4 linked regions of the Caenorhabditis elegans genome follow. The protein of the gene in region 1 interacts with the protein of each later gene in a pairwise test. Each region holds a gene or a part of one and is shown in the gene's direction. Other genes may lie near its edges. The genes, in order: cul-1, skr-10, skr-2 and skr-1.

Region 1 (6,158 bases):
TTTCCTTCTGTGATCGCTTGAATTTCTTCCATACTGATTCTGACCACGAAATCGATTGAAACTGTGTAGCTAATAGAGAAATGTAGCTTTTCGAAATATTGAAATAAATTTAATTATTTATTCAATCCTTTTATGTATTGGTTTTTTGTTATTCACATTTTAAAATATTTTTTATTTTTCACGGCCGTTGTTCACCGATCATATGATTACGGTGAAAATTCTAAAACTATTTATTTCCTATTTTATACCAAATAGTTGCAACATATTCTGATAAATCATGTAAGTCTTGTAAGAATACAAAATGTTCTTAGATTTAATTAATGTTGTTTTTTCTTGTTATTCCAGGTACAGTATCTTTTTAAAGGCGCACGAACTAATAAGTTTACCGAGTCCCGCCAAGAACTGTTTCGAGTTTTACAGCGATTTTTGTTCATTTTTTTTCAGTTTTTGTCTATTTATTTGTGAAAGAATAATTTCTCCTCTTTTCCGCAATAGAAATATAAAAAATGATTACAGTTTTATGGGCTCCTGTTTAAAAAACCTAGTTCTACAGTACTTCGATTATTACTTCCACTAATTAAAATTTCCTTTGGGCATCGCCAGGATCGATGTACAGTTAAAAATCTGTTTTCCACCTGTTGTTTTATCGAATTCTTTTTTTACTTTTTTTTCTGCATAAAATGCATGTTTTCTCCAGTTTTTCTCGAATGAAAACGCGTTTTTCAACTTTAAACTATTAAAAATTCGCTTTCGTGTATTTTGCACATCGAAACACCTAAAAAACAAACTTTGCTATTGTTAAAACCTTAGAAAACTCCGCCCGTTCATTGCACAGCCGCTAATCATTCCCTCCTGTGACCTTTCTTTTCCAGATCATCCCGCCATCTCAGCTGTCTTTTGTGCACTAACAGAACCATTGTACTCACCAGAATTTCTTTAAGAATCGATGAAGACACAAGATGAGGCGTCTCTAGCTTGTGTCGCGCAGTCTCCGTCTCCAAGGGTGTTTAGCTCACTGAAATGGGCTCTGAAAAATCAACTGAAATTCGCTTTTTTTCTGTTCTTGGAAATTCCTGAGTCCCGGGGAAAATGAAATAGTCTAAAATTATTATTATTTAGGTGTCTTTCATCTGAAAATTTTCCAAAATTCACAGAGTTTTTGAAAATCTCCTGTTAAGAACAATTTAATTTATTTCCCCAGTATCACTTGAAAAGCTAGAATTATCGCTGGAACAATTTCCTTATGTATTTATTTAATTTCCCCTTTTCCCAGGCTAGCAAATTAGAAAATCTCCTATTTTCCCTCCAATTCCCAGTTAAATTTATCGATTTGCGGTGAGAATCGCGTCCGAGGGCAATCGATTTACTGTCTTCCCGCGATTTTCAGCGCGTCTTCTTAATTTCCAGTCGGAGGCTCACTATCGAGTCATTTCTAACGTCTGCTGGCTCACAAGTATCCCCATTCAGTGATGGCTCTGGATTTTCGTCTTTTTTTTCTATTCTTCCAGGATATCTATATTTCTCCCCCAATTTTGCTCCAGTTTTCCAATTTTTTTGAAAACATCTATTTTTCCGGGATCTCATAAATTTTCTCAATTTCAAGCCCATTATTTCCACCTTCGGTGACTTTTTCCCAACACATGATGATTTTGGATTGGAGCGCGTTTGCGTTTGGGCCCTTGTTTCCTCGTTCCTCTGTTTCTTGCGAAATTGACAAATCCCTTGATTTTAATCGACAATTATTTTTTAAAAATGTGTTTTTCAGTATGACAAATAGCGAACCGAGAAGAATGACGTGTGATTCCGAGGTGGTTTGGAAGAAATTACAAGATGGACTTGATGTAGCGTATCGCAGAGAAAATATGGCGCCAAAAGACTATATGACTCTTTACACGTAAGATTTCCCCCCGAAATTCCACAGAAACTCAATAAAATCTTTAATTTTCAGAAGCGTCTATGACTACTGCACATCGATAACATTGTCCACAAGCCGCCGAGACGGCGAAGACGGTCGAGCAGAATCTTCAACTCCAGCACGAACCGCTGGCGCGGATTTTGTCGGTCACGAGATGTACCAGCGTGTTGAGGAATATGTAAAAGCGTACGTAATCGCTGTTTGTGAAAAGGGCGCCGAGTTGTCGGGCGAGGATCTTCTGAAATACTACACAACTGAATGGGAGAACTTCCGAATCTCGTCGAAGGTGATGGATGGTATTTTTGCCTACCTCAATCGTCATTGGATCAGACGTGAGCTCGACGAGGGCCATGAGAACATTTACATGGTTTATACACTTGCGTTGGTCGTCTGGAAGCGTAACTTGTTCAATGATCTTAAGGATAAGGTGATTGATGCGATGCTCGAGCTGATTCGTTCCGAGAGAACCGGATCCATGATCAACAGCCGATACATTTCTGGAGTTGTCGAGTGTCTTGTGGAGTTGGGTGTTGACGATTCGGAGACCGATGCGAAGAAGGACGCGGAGACCAAGAAGCTGGCCGTTTACAAGGAATTCTTCGAAGTCAAGTTTTTGGAGGCGACCCGCGGATTTTATACCCAAGAGGCGGCAAATTTCCTGAGCAACGGAGGAAATGTGACAGATTACATGATTAAAGTGGAGACAAGACTTAATCAAGAGGATGATCGCTGTCAACTCTACCTGAATTCTTCCACAAAAACTCCACTTGCAACTTGCTGTGAATCTGTGCTCATCTCTAATCAGCTTGACTTCCTCCAGAGACACTTCGGTGGTCTTCTTGTCGATAAACGAGACGATGACCTTTCCAGAATGTTCAAGCTTTGCGATAGAGTGCCGAATGGACTCGACGAGCTCAGAAAATCCCTGGAGAATCACATCGCAAAGGAGGGTCACCAGGCGTTGGAAAGAGTTGCTATGGAGGCGGCAACCGACGCGAAACTCTACGTGAAGACGCTTCTGGAGGTTCATGAACGTTATCAAAGCCTTGTCAATCGATCATTCAAAAATGAGCCAGGATTCATGCAATCACTCGATAAGGCGGCGACTTCTTTTATCAATAATAATGCCGTCACTAAACGTGCCCCGCCACAGGCTCAGTTGACAAAGTCCGCGGAGCTTCTTGCCAGATATTGTGATCAACTGCTCAGAAAAAGCTCGAAGATGCCCGATGAGGCGGAGCTCGAGGAGTTGCAGACGAAGATTGTAGGTTTTTCTCGCTTTTTTTTTTCTCAAAATGGCGTAATTTCCAGCTAAAATTTGAAATTTAACCAACTTTTTGCATATTTTGGTTGTTTATTTCGTTGATTGAGGAACATTTTCGATCGATGAGTGCACACTGCGAAACTGATAAGTTGGCTAAATTTGAGATTTTCGCTGAAAAAAAAAAACAGATTCCTCTCCTTTTTTTCATATCGTTTTTCATACCGATTTTTTCATATCGATTCATATCGAGGCTTCTCAAAATTTCGAAAAATACGGCAATTTTCCCAACTTTTCAATTATTTACCTTTTTCTGACGTTTAAATGTGGCTATAAATCGACCTAAATCAACGAAAAACGCCAGTAATCAATTAAAAATCAATTTCCGACATACGGGAAAATTTGAGGTTTTATCTAAAATTGCCATATTAAAGGATTAAAAGATTTAAAATATTTCAAACCTCCATAGAAATGAAAACCCAATTTCTAAAAAGTTAGCTCAAAATTCTAAAATTTCTATTCCAGATGGTTGTGTTCAAGTACATTGACGATAAGGATGTATTCTCCAAATTCTACACGAAAATGTTCAGCAAACGACTTATCAGTGAACTCTCAGCAAGTGATGAAGCCGAGGCTAACTTTATCACGAAGCTCAAGAGTATGTGCGGGTACGAGTATACCGCCCGTCTCTCGAAAATGGTCAACGATACTCAAGTCAGCAAGGATTTAACCGCGGATTTCAAGGAAAAGAAAGCGGATATGCTCGGCCAGAAATCCGTTGAATTCAATGTTCTCGTGCTCAGTTCGGGCTCATGGCCGACTTTCCCAACGACACCAATAACTCTTCCACAGCAGCTGTCGAAGACTATTGAGATCTTTGGACAATTCTACAATGAGAAGTTCAATGGACGTCGGCTCACGTGGGTTTACTCGCAGAGTCGTGGAGAGATCACTTCTACAGCTTTTCCCAAGAAATATGTGTTTACTGTAAGTTTAAACGTGGAATTTCTATCTAAAAATATTTTTTAAAAATCCGGAAGAAAATGCCTGAAAAAAGTCCAAAATTTTACTATCTGCCACCCAGCTAAAATTTGAATTTTCACTTGGATTTTATCGAATAACAGCTAAAAACCTAAAATTTTCCAGGCCACAACTGCTCAAATGTGCACAATGCTTTTGTTCAACGAACAGGACTCGTACACTGTCGAACAAATCGCCGCTGCCACAAAAATGGACGAAAAGTCAGCACCAGCCATTGTCGGCTCTCTCATCAAAAATCTTGTGCTCAAAGCGGACACAGAACTCCAAAAAGAGGATGAAGTACCGATGACGGCGACCGTAAGCCTCAACAAAGCCTACATGAACAAGAAAGTTCGTGTCGATTTGTCAAAATTCACGATGAAGCAGGACGCCGTGCGTGATACGGAAAATGTGCAGAAAAATGTTGAGGAGGATCGGAAGAGCGTGATTAGTGTAAGTTTTTGATGAGAAATCGGCGGTTTTGGAGAGAAAAATTCAATAATTTCAGGCTTGCATCGTAAGAATCATGAAAACTCGCAAACGTGTACAGCATCAGCAGCTTATGACAGAGGTTCGTTTGGAAATTTCAAATTTTCGAAAAAAATCGATAAAATCTACGTGGAAATTTAATTTTAATGAACTTTCGAAAAAAATCTGATTATGGAAAAACGAGTTTTTCATAATTTGTTGATAAAATCTACGTGGAAATTCAAATTTTCTATACATTTTCGTAAAAAAAACGCGTCGAAATTCGAATTTCTTATGAAATTTCGATAAAATTCTCTTGGAAATTCAATTTTCAAAAAAAAAGTTCACCTGAAATTGGTAGAAACTCTGTAAAAATTGAAAAAAAAATCTTCAAAATTTTCGAGCTTTCGTAGTGCATTTTCAACACAAAATTCTGAAGAAATAAATTAAAACCCCTAAAATAAAAGATGATATCCACGTGGAAAATCAAGTTTTCCATGAAATTTGAAAAAAAAAAATCACCGGAAAAATCGAATTTTCTTTGAAATTTTAAAAAACTCCACTTGGAAATTCAAAGAAAAAACATCTAAAACCCTCTAAATATGATATTTTTGCAGGTGATCACACAACTTTCCGGTCGATTCAAGCCAAAGGTTGAAATGATCAAGAGATGCATTGGATCACTCATCGAAAAGGAATATATGCTCCGTACAGAAGGACAAAAAGATCTCTATGAGTACCTCGCCTAATTCATTTCATTTTAAATATTCTATTTTCTCTTTTAAAAACTATTTTTCCCCTTTACTTTTTTCGCCCAGTTTTATTCTCCACCCTCTTCTTCCCTTCATATCCGTGTTTTTGAAAACTTCAACACCATCTGTATTCTATTACTTATTCTCCTCTCCAAGTCCCTCCTTATTCGATTGTTCTTCTTTACAGAAGCGGGTCCTGGCTTCATTTTGCGCTCTCTGGTAAATGGTCCTGGGTTTTGTAAATCGTTTGTGTGTAGAATATTCGAAAAACCGTATACTCGGTAAACCTTTTTGATTTTTTTTCGTCTTTTTTCGGAAAAATTAAAAAAAAATTCAACTTCCAAGTGAATTTTTCAGTTTTTTCAAGGCCAAATGCAAAAAGGTGAGTAGTCACTTGAACCACAGACAACAAAAAAATCGATGACGAATTATTACAACAAGACAATTTGGATGAGACACTACTGCTGCTCTGACCCCTCCGTCTGTTCACCAGATGCACTTTTTCCCACTGCTCTGAGTCTTCACACTAATGCTTTGCTCAGTCTTCTCTGTTTATAGACTACTATTTGAAGGCTAACTTTCCACGTTGCGTTGACCGGGAAATTTGAATTTTCAGTTGTTTTTTATTACACAGTCGCGAAATTTTCCGTACCCGGTCTCGACGTGACAAATTTTTGCTAAATGTGAAAAGGTGTGCGCCTTTAAAGAGTACTGTAATTTCAAATTTTCGTTTTTGTGTAAT
Region 2 (3,137 bases), on another chromosome or scaffold:
GGACAAGAGAATGAGTCTACATGCAGAGTGTGCCGAAAAAAATATTAGAAATCGATCGATTGGAACGCTGCGTTTGTTAAAAAAATATTGATTAGTTTTCCACAGGGAGATGATGAGAAATGCCGTCAAGTTAAACGCGACGAGAAAAAGAAAATTTGACTGTTTCAATTGGTTGTTATAAACTTGGATACGATTTATATAGTATTAATACTGAACTAATTATACACATTAGAAATACTATAGGAATATGACAAGGAAAGTGCTGGAAATTAACTCAAAGATGCATACGTTTTTGTAATTGGAGAGGTGAAAAAAAAATTACTGTTTCTAAAATATACCAAATTTCGGGTAAAAATTAGGGGGTATTTCTCGGGAAAAAAATATTGGACTAATTTGCAAAGAATCAAAATTTAGGTCCGTTTTTATAAAACTGTTATGTTTGTTACTGTATTCTAGCAACTATGTTAATATTTGATCTACAAGTCTCAGACGTAGCAAGGTAGCAACCAAATTGAATTAAGTCGGAAATGGAATAAAAAATTGGAGAAACAAATAGAATGCATTGAAAAATGGAAAAAAAGAAAGAACAAAAAATGCGACTACTCACAATGAGAAGAGAATGTATAAATGACTCCTCACAATCAGGCAGACTGTTTTTTTCCAGAAAACGACTGGGACGCTGCAAATCTAGGTCAATTATTGATATTGGGTAGAGAGAGTTCAATGCATTTCTAGGAGGTTTAGAAAAACAGACAGTGCACCTGCTCTAGGATTTCCCTAACAAAGGTCTTTTCTCTCTAAACCTCGCCTATAACACAATGTCTCATCTCATCCTGTCAAAATTTGACCTACATTTCCAGCGTTTTTAACCGAAGCCAGTTAGGCTATTGGTCATTCTTGCATTTAGCTCTCACCCTGGGCAGCTGCATTTTATTTTTCCTTCTTTTTAAATTTTTTTTTTTTTTGGTTTTTCGTTCTTTTGTTTTATCAATGACCCAGAATCTGTTTGTCTGAAAACCTTAAACTTTAAGCATTCAAAGTTCTAGTCCAATTAAAAATGTTGAACTCTCTAAAACTATAATACCTGTTTGATGCAGTTTTTATAATAAACTATTTTTGAACAAATCCCGATCGAGAAATAAACTTGATAATTACTTAAAGTTGTACCACTAATAAAACCGAAAAATCACTTTAAAATTCGATTACCTATAACCTTAAAAAATATTCTGATCTTCTAAAAACCTCCTAAAATGTAATTTGAGAAAATGTCGCAATATTGCAAAAAAAATTTAAAATCAATTCTAAATTTTGCTATTTCGAGGTGTTATCAAATTTTAGCGCAAGCCTTATTCGAATATTGCATTGGGATTTGCTTTCTTCTTTTTTTTTGTAAAATTCATATCGAGGATATGTAAACCAGTTTGTCAAATTTGTTGCTTTAAACCCCTTTGGATTAATTTAGGCTTACACTATTTCAGACCACTTTTTGATCGATAAAATATTAGGGGCCTCCTCAACAACCTTGTCGGTTGATATTAAACCTTTTTAGACAAATCGATATTTTTCGAACAAACGCAGCGTTCCATGCTGTTGATTTTGCGTGTATAACTCTTCAATCAACTTTAGATGCAATACTATATAAATCTTATCCAAATGTATAACAACCAGTTGAAACAGTCAAATTTTCTTTTTCTCGTCGCGTTCAACTTGACGGCATTTCTCATCATCTCCCTGTGGAAAACTAATCAATACTTTTTGAACAAACGCAGCGTTCCAATCGATCGATTTCTAACATTTTTTGAGGGATAGTCTGTCTGCAGAGTCATTCTATCGTTTATATCTCATTGTGAGCAGTCGTCTACATTTTTTTCTATCTTTCTATACACATTTCAAAACTATTATCTAACGTTGTTACCCGAAATTATAACAGCTGTTAGATACAGTTCTTTTTTTTACTTTTTGAAATCAGATTTTCCTACATTTTCTTAACTTAATCATCTTTCTTTATTTTTTCAACCCATTATTTTTCCAGAAACTACTCTAAAACTACCAACAATGTCCGCTGAAGTCGCTGCCGTTGAAATCCAAGAAGCTCCAGTTGCTGCTCCAATCATGTACAAAGTTGAATCAAATGATGGAACAGTTTTCGAAATCAGTGATGAAGCAGTAAAACAATCAAATACACTCTCCAATCTAATCTCTACATGTGCTCCAGAAGATGTAGCTTCAATGGATCCAATTCCAATTACAAATGTCACTGGAAACATCCTGAAGATGGTCATTGAATGGTGTGAGAAACACAAAGGAGAAGCACTTCCAGTTGATGATGACAGTGTTCCAAAGCATATCACTGTTCCCGAATGGGATACCAACTTCTTGAAAATCGACAACGAAGTGCTCTTCGACTTGATTGTTGCCTGCAACTACCTTGATGTGCCTGGATTAATGAATTATGGATGCAAGATGGTTGCCATGATGGCTATCGGAAAGTCTCCTGATGAGTTGAGAATCATCTTTGCAATTCCAACTGATGAAGAGGATGAAGCTGCTGAGAGAGCTGCAAAGGAGAAGGCTGAAGCTGAGAAGAAGGCGAATGCTGAGAAGGACGCAGCTGAACCATCGACTTCCAAATAATTTCTATGTATCAAGTGTTTTGTGTTTCTTATCAAATAAATAAGTTTGACTGTAATCTTGTTGACAAACATTACACAAAATTTTTATTAACAGTTTCAAGGTGTTGTTTTGAAGAGTTATTCCTAAAATGAAATATTCCATAGCAAGGTTCTAACACAGAATGCACTTTGACTATCTTCTTGTTGAAACATTTGGAAATTTTGAAAAAAAACATCTACTGTTTCAATATGTTGATTTTAAGAGTGAGGCTAAACAAGCAACAGTAAGTTTTTATTTAACCAAAAGCAATTACGTTTGAAAATGTCACAATTAAACCTTATAAACTAGTGTTGAAAGGGCATTCAAAAAAAAACTCGCGTATCTAGTTACTTTAATTCAAAAAATTCAAAAATACCATGCCACTTTTGCGGAAAAGTTTGCAATTTTGTGCGATGCTCAAAAATGTATTCACATATATCAATTTTTATGTTGGAACGTTTACTACCTAGCAACAAGAACTCCAG
Region 3 (3,108 bases), on another chromosome or scaffold:
CAGATATTGGATCAATTTATGTTCGAAAGCTACATTTTATTGGCAAAAAAATAAAAAACATTGCCAACATTCGGATTTGGTTCGGTGCCAGGAAGTGGGTTTGGCAAAGGAGACGTAAATTGTTTCATTTGGTTCTAAAACTTTTAGCTACGATTTGTTTCTATAACAACGTTCTCTATTTTTGTCAAAAAGCTTTTAATTAAAGAAAATAATTGTATCGCTAATATTTTTAGTTTGGAAGTACGAGAACTCATCACAGCAGTTGGACAGAATATTGGAATTGATCAGAATGTGATAGCAGACATAGATATTGATACATTGGTTAAAACAGCAATTCAAGTGAAATTGGGAAGACTTTCAAGAGTTCCTCAAACACATATGATTGTTGAGGGAATATGGCCTCCAGAACTTGTTCCTCTTTTTATGAAAGTGAGATATTTGAAACTTTATAGTATTCGAAGAAAATAATGTTTCAGGATGGTCAATTCCCACTTTTTGTCGATTCGGAAGATGATCTCACTGATATGAGGCCTAAGAAATTTTCAGTTCATTTTGAAGATGAACCAATGATGTCTGAAATAGAGGATACATCTGATTCTGAAACAGCTGCTGATAAATCACAAACCACATCGTCCCGATTGTCTCCAATTCCACGCCGAAGAGCAATGCAAGCCAAATTGAATGGTTCAACTGGTATGTTATCTAGAATTGAAGTGAATGGGAATTTTTAACGAAATCAATTTCAGACTCAGATCAAGCTTGCCACGACGGCGTTATGAATGTTTCAACAACTATCACCTCTGATCTTTCTACAGATGCATAGCATTTTGTTTTTTCTTCTTTTCTTAAATCTCAAATAAATACTTTTTAAAAATTTCTTTAAAAAAATAGACATAAACAAAACATATATAACTTTTCCCAGCTACATTATTACATTTTACAGCATTATTATTTTTGTGAAGTCGGTAGATCGAATATTTAAAATTGATAATACAATTTTATTATATAAAACTCAATTTTATTTACTATCTCTCGAAGAAACTGCGCCCGCAGAAGGAATTCAATTTCTTTAAAGTTTTCAAAAAGTTACGGTAAACTATTCCGTAAACACCGCGACATAAAAATGCACACTTTCTCTTTCCTAATTTTATATAAAATTTATAATTTTAGTTTTCTTCGAGAAAGAAACAAACAATCGTCACTTGCTTTTCGAAGAGTTGTTCATTCAACGACTTTCTTTTTTGTCTTCAAATATTTTTTGTTGCGATTTCTATTTCTTGTGAATCGTCTCAATGTATAGATGGATGATTGAAGCTTGAGTATTTAAATTATCCAGAATTGAAATGTTTTCACATACAGGTGTGCTTGATTGTTTTGTAGTTTGAGCATCAACCAAATTCGAAATATATTCAAATACAATTTTTCTGGCTAAAATTTTTCGATGACTACCAATAAGTAGCAGATTTTTATTGACGTTGAGAATTCATTCCAGTATCTTTTTCCTGTATTCTCAATCATTCTTCTTATTATTTTAGTTATAGTTTTTCTATTTTGCAGATATTCTGATAGAATTCCAACGAAACCATTGCTTTGTTTTTTCCGCGTGGTTTTTGTACACTTCTCTCGTTAGTGACCCTGTCACAACTAATTTTAATTCCAGTCAACTACAACACGATGGCTGACCAAAAGGAAGCATCCGAAGCAGCAAAGAACCGCGAAATCAAGATCTCGTCTTCGGATGATGAAATCTTCTTGGTAAGCTGAAATTCGTTTGTTATTGTCATTTTTATCTGAAAAACTAGGCTTCGGGTCGATAAGACGCTTTCGCAGTTCTTATAGAAAATGTTTAGTAGCCTAGTTGATTTTTAATAAATCAACAAAAAAAGCGGCACTGTACGCTAGATGGCATGGGAAAAATTGCAATCTGAACTTCCAGGTCCCACGCAATGTGATCCGTCTCTCAAACACTCTCAACACTCTTCTTGTGGACCTCGGGCTCGACGACGATGAAGGAACCAACGCTGAGCCAATTCCAGTGCAAAACGTCACTGCCTCGATTTTGAAGAAGGTTATCAACTGGTGCACCAAACACCAGTCCGACCCAATTCCAACTGAAGACAGTGAGAAGAAAACGGATGGTTCCATCCAAGACTGGGACAAAAAATTTCTCGATATTGACCAAGGAACCCTTTTCGAGCTCATTTTGGTAACTTGTTATTTTAGTTGCAATATTTTAAATTCCTATTTTCAGGCTGCCAACTATTTGGACATCAAAGGACTTCTTGATGTCGCCTGCCAGTCTGTCGCCAACATGATCAAGGGAAAATCTCCAGATGAAATTCGTCGTGCTTTCAACATCAAGGACGACTTCACTGCAGAGGAGAGAGAGCAAATCCGTAAGGAAAACGCCTGGTGCGATGATTAAATCTCCATCTTTTCCCCTGTTAAACTTTCAATTACCTTGTTTTCTAAATGTTTCACATCATCCACCATATCTTTCCCCTTATTAAACGCACTTTTTAATTGTTAACAAATTTCTTCACTGCCAGCTGACACAACTGTGTACAGTTCTGTTTTTCATTCAATAAAGTTGATGTGAACATGAAAATTGCAAACAATGCAATTGGTTTTAAAGCCACAGCAATAGTATTTTTTAGTCTGAACAGGACTATAGATCCTTCACTTTTGAAATGGAAGATGACGAGATGTGAAATTCTAGGCCAAAGTTGCTTCGTTTTCCGCGCGCGTAGATTTCGAAATAAATAAAAAAACAATACTTTTCTCAGTTTTAAAAGCTACGGATCGTGTGAATGAAAATTACTTTCTGTGATTAATTGCGAATGGGGTTATTCAAGTAATGTATTTACATGACTTTATCGCATATTGCGCCTGACGCTGCTAAATCCCCGCATTTAACTGAAAGTTGCGATATCTTTAAAACGAGATCTATTTTTTCCATTTCTTTCATTTTTTTTTTCCTGATATTCTCCTTTTTCTATCTATCAAAAATCGAGTGCCGATATTCGCTGAAAAGACTATATTATGTACGCCGTCCGCTCTCTTTTTAATTTTATATAATTAAAAAACATTATCTCTGAATATCTGCAA
Region 4 (3,611 bases), on another chromosome or scaffold:
TTCCAACGAAACCATTGCTTTGTTTTTTCCGCGTGGTTTTTGTACACTTCTCTCGTTAGTGACCCTGTCACAACTAATTTTAATTCCAGTCAACTACAACACGATGGCTGACCAAAAGGAAGCATCCGAAGCAGCAAAGAACCGCGAAATCAAGATCTCGTCTTCGGATGATGAAATCTTCTTGGTAAGCTGAAATTCGTTTGTTATTGTCATTTTTATCTGAAAAACTAGGCTTCGGGTCGATAAGACGCTTTCGCAGTTCTTATAGAAAATGTTTAGTAGCCTAGTTGATTTTTAATAAATCAACAAAAAAAGCGGCACTGTACGCTAGATGGCATGGGAAAAATTGCAATCTGAACTTCCAGGTCCCACGCAATGTGATCCGTCTCTCAAACACTCTCAACACTCTTCTTGTGGACCTCGGGCTCGACGACGATGAAGGAACCAACGCTGAGCCAATTCCAGTGCAAAACGTCACTGCCTCGATTTTGAAGAAGGTTATCAACTGGTGCACCAAACACCAGTCCGACCCAATTCCAACTGAAGACAGTGAGAAGAAAACGGATGGTTCCATCCAAGACTGGGACAAAAAATTTCTCGATATTGACCAAGGAACCCTTTTCGAGCTCATTTTGGTAACTTGTTATTTTAGTTGCAATATTTTAAATTCCTATTTTCAGGCTGCCAACTATTTGGACATCAAAGGACTTCTTGATGTCGCCTGCCAGTCTGTCGCCAACATGATCAAGGGAAAATCTCCAGATGAAATTCGTCGTGCTTTCAACATCAAGGACGACTTCACTGCAGAGGAGAGAGAGCAAATCCGTAAGGAAAACGCCTGGTGCGATGATTAAATCTCCATCTTTTCCCCTGTTAAACTTTCAATTACCTTGTTTTCTAAATGTTTCACATCATCCACCATATCTTTCCCCTTATTAAACGCACTTTTTAATTGTTAACAAATTTCTTCACTGCCAGCTGACACAACTGTGTACAGTTCTGTTTTTCATTCAATAAAGTTGATGTGAACATGAAAATTGCAAACAATGCAATTGGTTTTAAAGCCACAGCAATAGTATTTTTTAGTCTGAACAGGACTATAGATCCTTCACTTTTGAAATGGAAGATGACGAGATGTGAAATTCTAGGCCAAAGTTGCTTCGTTTTCCGCGCGCGTAGATTTCGAAATAAATAAAAAAACAATACTTTTCTCAGTTTTAAAAGCTACGGATCGTGTGAATGAAAATTACTTTCTGTGATTAATTGCGAATGGGGTTATTCAAGTAATGTATTTACATGACTTTATCGCATATTGCGCCTGACGCTGCTAAATCCCCGCATTTAACTGAAAGTTGCGATATCTTTAAAACGAGATCTATTTTTTCCATTTCTTTCATTTTTTTTTTCCTGATATTCTCCTTTTTCTATCTATCAAAAATCGAGTGCCGATATTCGCTGAAAAGACTATATTATGTACGCCGTCCGCTCTCTTTTTAATTTTATATAATTAAAAAACATTATCTCTGAATATCTGCAACTCGAAATTTAGTAAATATACCGTTCCTCCATTATCTTTCTAGTATTTTTTTAAAGACTTTGTCCATCCAATAAATTGTCATATTTGTCAATTCGTTCCCGCATTGCGTTCTATAACGATCGATAACTCTGCGTCTCTTCCTTTGTGTGTACACTGTTTCCTCGCTTCTCTACACTGTTTCCTCGCTTCTCTCGCATCATACGACACACTCACATTCTATTCGCTCATTTCTCAACGTTCTCATTCTATTTTTCGTTGTTTTTCTTTGTTTTGCAGGTATTTTGCGTTGGAAAATTTAAAACTTTTAATTTTTCTCGATGGAAATACTCTTAATCGTTCTTTTTTTTTTCTACCTGTTCTTCTTTATTATTTGTATGTAATCGTTCTTTTCACAATAATTTCTCAATTTCAATCGATTTCAACGCGATGGCTGATCAAAAGAAAGTATCCGAGGCGGCAAAGGAACGCGAAATCAAGATATCGTCTTCGGATAACGAAATCTTCTTGGTAAGATTCAAATTATTCCTTCGTTTTCGTTATTTTTGTCTAAAAAAACTAAATCGATAAGCCGTGCTGCATGCATGCGCGCGTAGAGTTTTGCTTCTTGGTATCCTAGGTGATCTGACTTATAGAAAAATAGACAATGTTAAATGTTCCACTATATTTGAAAATTCACAAACTAAACTTCCAGGTCCCACGCAATGTGATCCGTCTCTCAAACACTATCAACACTCTCCTGATGGATCTTGGACTCGACGACGAAGAAGGAACCAACGCTGAGCCAATTCCAGTTCAAAACGTCACTGCCTCGATTCTGAAGAAGGTCATTAGTTGGTGCAACCATCATCACTCCGATCCTATCTCGACTGAAGATTCCGATAACCGCGAGAAAAGAACTGACGACATAGGCAGCTGGGACGTCGAGTTTCTTAAGGTTGACCAAGGAACCCTTTTCGAGCTCATCTTGGTAACTTGTTATTTTAGTTCCAATATTTGAAATTCATATTTTTAGGCTGCCAACTATTTGGACATCAAGGGACTTCTTGATGTTACCTGCAAGACTGTTGCTAACATGATCAAGGGAAAATCTCCAGAAGAGATTCGTCGCACTTTCAACATCAAGAACGACTTCACCCCGGAAGAGGAAGAGCAAATCCGCAAAGAGAATGCCTGGTGCGAGGATTAAATTACCCTTCAGTTTGCCTATTTCTCTATTACATTTCTAAACGACATGTCGCTTCCTTCCCCTTCACACTTCACACATTGTCCTGATATGGTCTCTGTCTATTTTTTACATCATCTCTGGCAGCCCAAAAACTTCTTCCTTTTTTCACCTAATTAAAATGCATCTTTTGAATTTTAACCGCCATTCTATATTTATACCTATAAATCACCGACCGGCAAAAATTATGCAGTGTGAGATTCTCACACATTTCCTCCAATGAACATCAGTGTGTCCTTTACGTGATTGTACATGCCTAAAAATAAAGTTGATGAGACGATACAAAAAACAAACGATTTATGTAAAACATTGAAAAAAATATAACCCGTGAATGTATTTAAATTCTGATATGAAAAGTTCTAATGAAGTCAGGTGATCGAGAGACAACGTGTTCAAATTCTGCGAAGTTTATACTCGAGTCTCCATCCAAATCAGCTTCTTCAATAATTCGTTCAATTATAAATTCAACTTCTACATCACTCAGCTCATCTCTTGTTAAACTTCGAATCATTTTACTCAAATCATCATGTCCAAGAAGTTCATCTCCATCGTAATCTAAAACAATATTTTGATACTAAATTAAATATTATTACGCAGACCTCTAAGGACCGCTATTGCAATATAATTTTATCAGATATAAATGCAAAATTTATGTCATGATTGTTAAAATAACAATATGATATAATACAATTTATTTACGCGAGTTACAGTAACCCGTTGCCGGAATGGCGAGACGTTGCGCGTAAATTGTGGTGAAAATTCGCAACTATGGACGTCTACGTAATAAGAACCATATAACTTTTATGGATTGTTAATATCAAATGATTTTATGTCTAATCTCTTCCTTACCAT

What was found.
Region 2: the proteins of cul-1 (region 1) and skr-10 interact in a two-hybrid assay, tested with the Caenorhabditis elegans proteins (2 studies listed by BioGRID).
Region 3: the proteins of cul-1 (region 1) and skr-2 interact in a two-hybrid assay, tested with the Caenorhabditis elegans proteins (3 studies listed by BioGRID).
Region 4: the proteins of cul-1 (region 1) and skr-1 interact in a two-hybrid assay, tested with the Caenorhabditis elegans proteins (4 studies listed by BioGRID).

The regions. Positions count from the first base shown.
Region 1 is NC_003281.10:10,469,472-10,475,629, forward strand, and holds cul-1 (Cullin-1), read left to right. Parts: upstream 1-1,765; 5' UTR 1,766-1,766; coding exon 1,767-1,894; intron 1,895-1,948; coding exon 1,949-3,179; intron 3,180-3,701; coding exon 3,702-4,163; intron 4,164-4,322; coding exon 4,323-4,649; intron 4,650-4,704; coding exon 4,705-4,767; intron 4,768-5,281; coding exon 5,282-5,413; 3' UTR 5,414-5,658; downstream 5,659-6,158. Other genes in the region: D2045.5 (non-specific serine/threonine protein kinase), read right to left, coding at 1-32. UniProt on the Caenorhabditis elegans protein: Probable core component of multiple cullin-RING-based SCF (SKP1-CUL1-F-box) E3 ubiquitin-protein ligase complexes which mediate the ubiquitination and subsequent proteasomal degradation of target proteins.
Region 2 is NC_003282.8:15,944,752-15,947,888, forward strand, and holds skr-10 (Skp1-related protein), read left to right. Parts: upstream 1-2,055; coding exon 2,056-2,634; downstream 2,635-3,137.
Region 3 is NC_003279.8:9,468,030-9,471,137, forward strand, and holds skr-2 (Skp1-related protein), read left to right. Parts: upstream 1-1,624; 5' UTR 1,625-1,674; coding exon 1,675-1,755; intron 1,756-1,936; coding exon 1,937-2,206; intron 2,207-2,251; coding exon 2,252-2,425; 3' UTR 2,426-2,608; downstream 2,609-3,108. Other genes in the region: twk-29 (Potassium channel domain-containing protein), read left to right, coding at 4-94, 234-429, 477-693, 747-823.
Region 4 is NC_003279.8:9,469,601-9,473,211, forward strand, and holds skr-1 (Skp1-related protein), read left to right. Parts: upstream 1-1,949; 5' UTR 1,950-1,963; coding exon 1,964-2,044; intron 2,045-2,228; coding exon 2,229-2,504; intron 2,505-2,549; coding exon 2,550-2,723; 3' UTR 2,724-3,045; downstream 3,046-3,611. Other genes in the region: skr-2 (Skp1-related protein), read left to right, coding at 104-184, 366-635, 681-854; calm-1 (EF-hand domain-containing protein), read right to left, coding at 3,097-3,314, 3,609-3,611. UniProt on the Caenorhabditis elegans protein: Probable essential component of SCF (SKP1-CUL1-F-box protein) E3 ubiquitin-protein ligase complexes, which mediate the ubiquitination and subsequent proteasomal degradation of target proteins.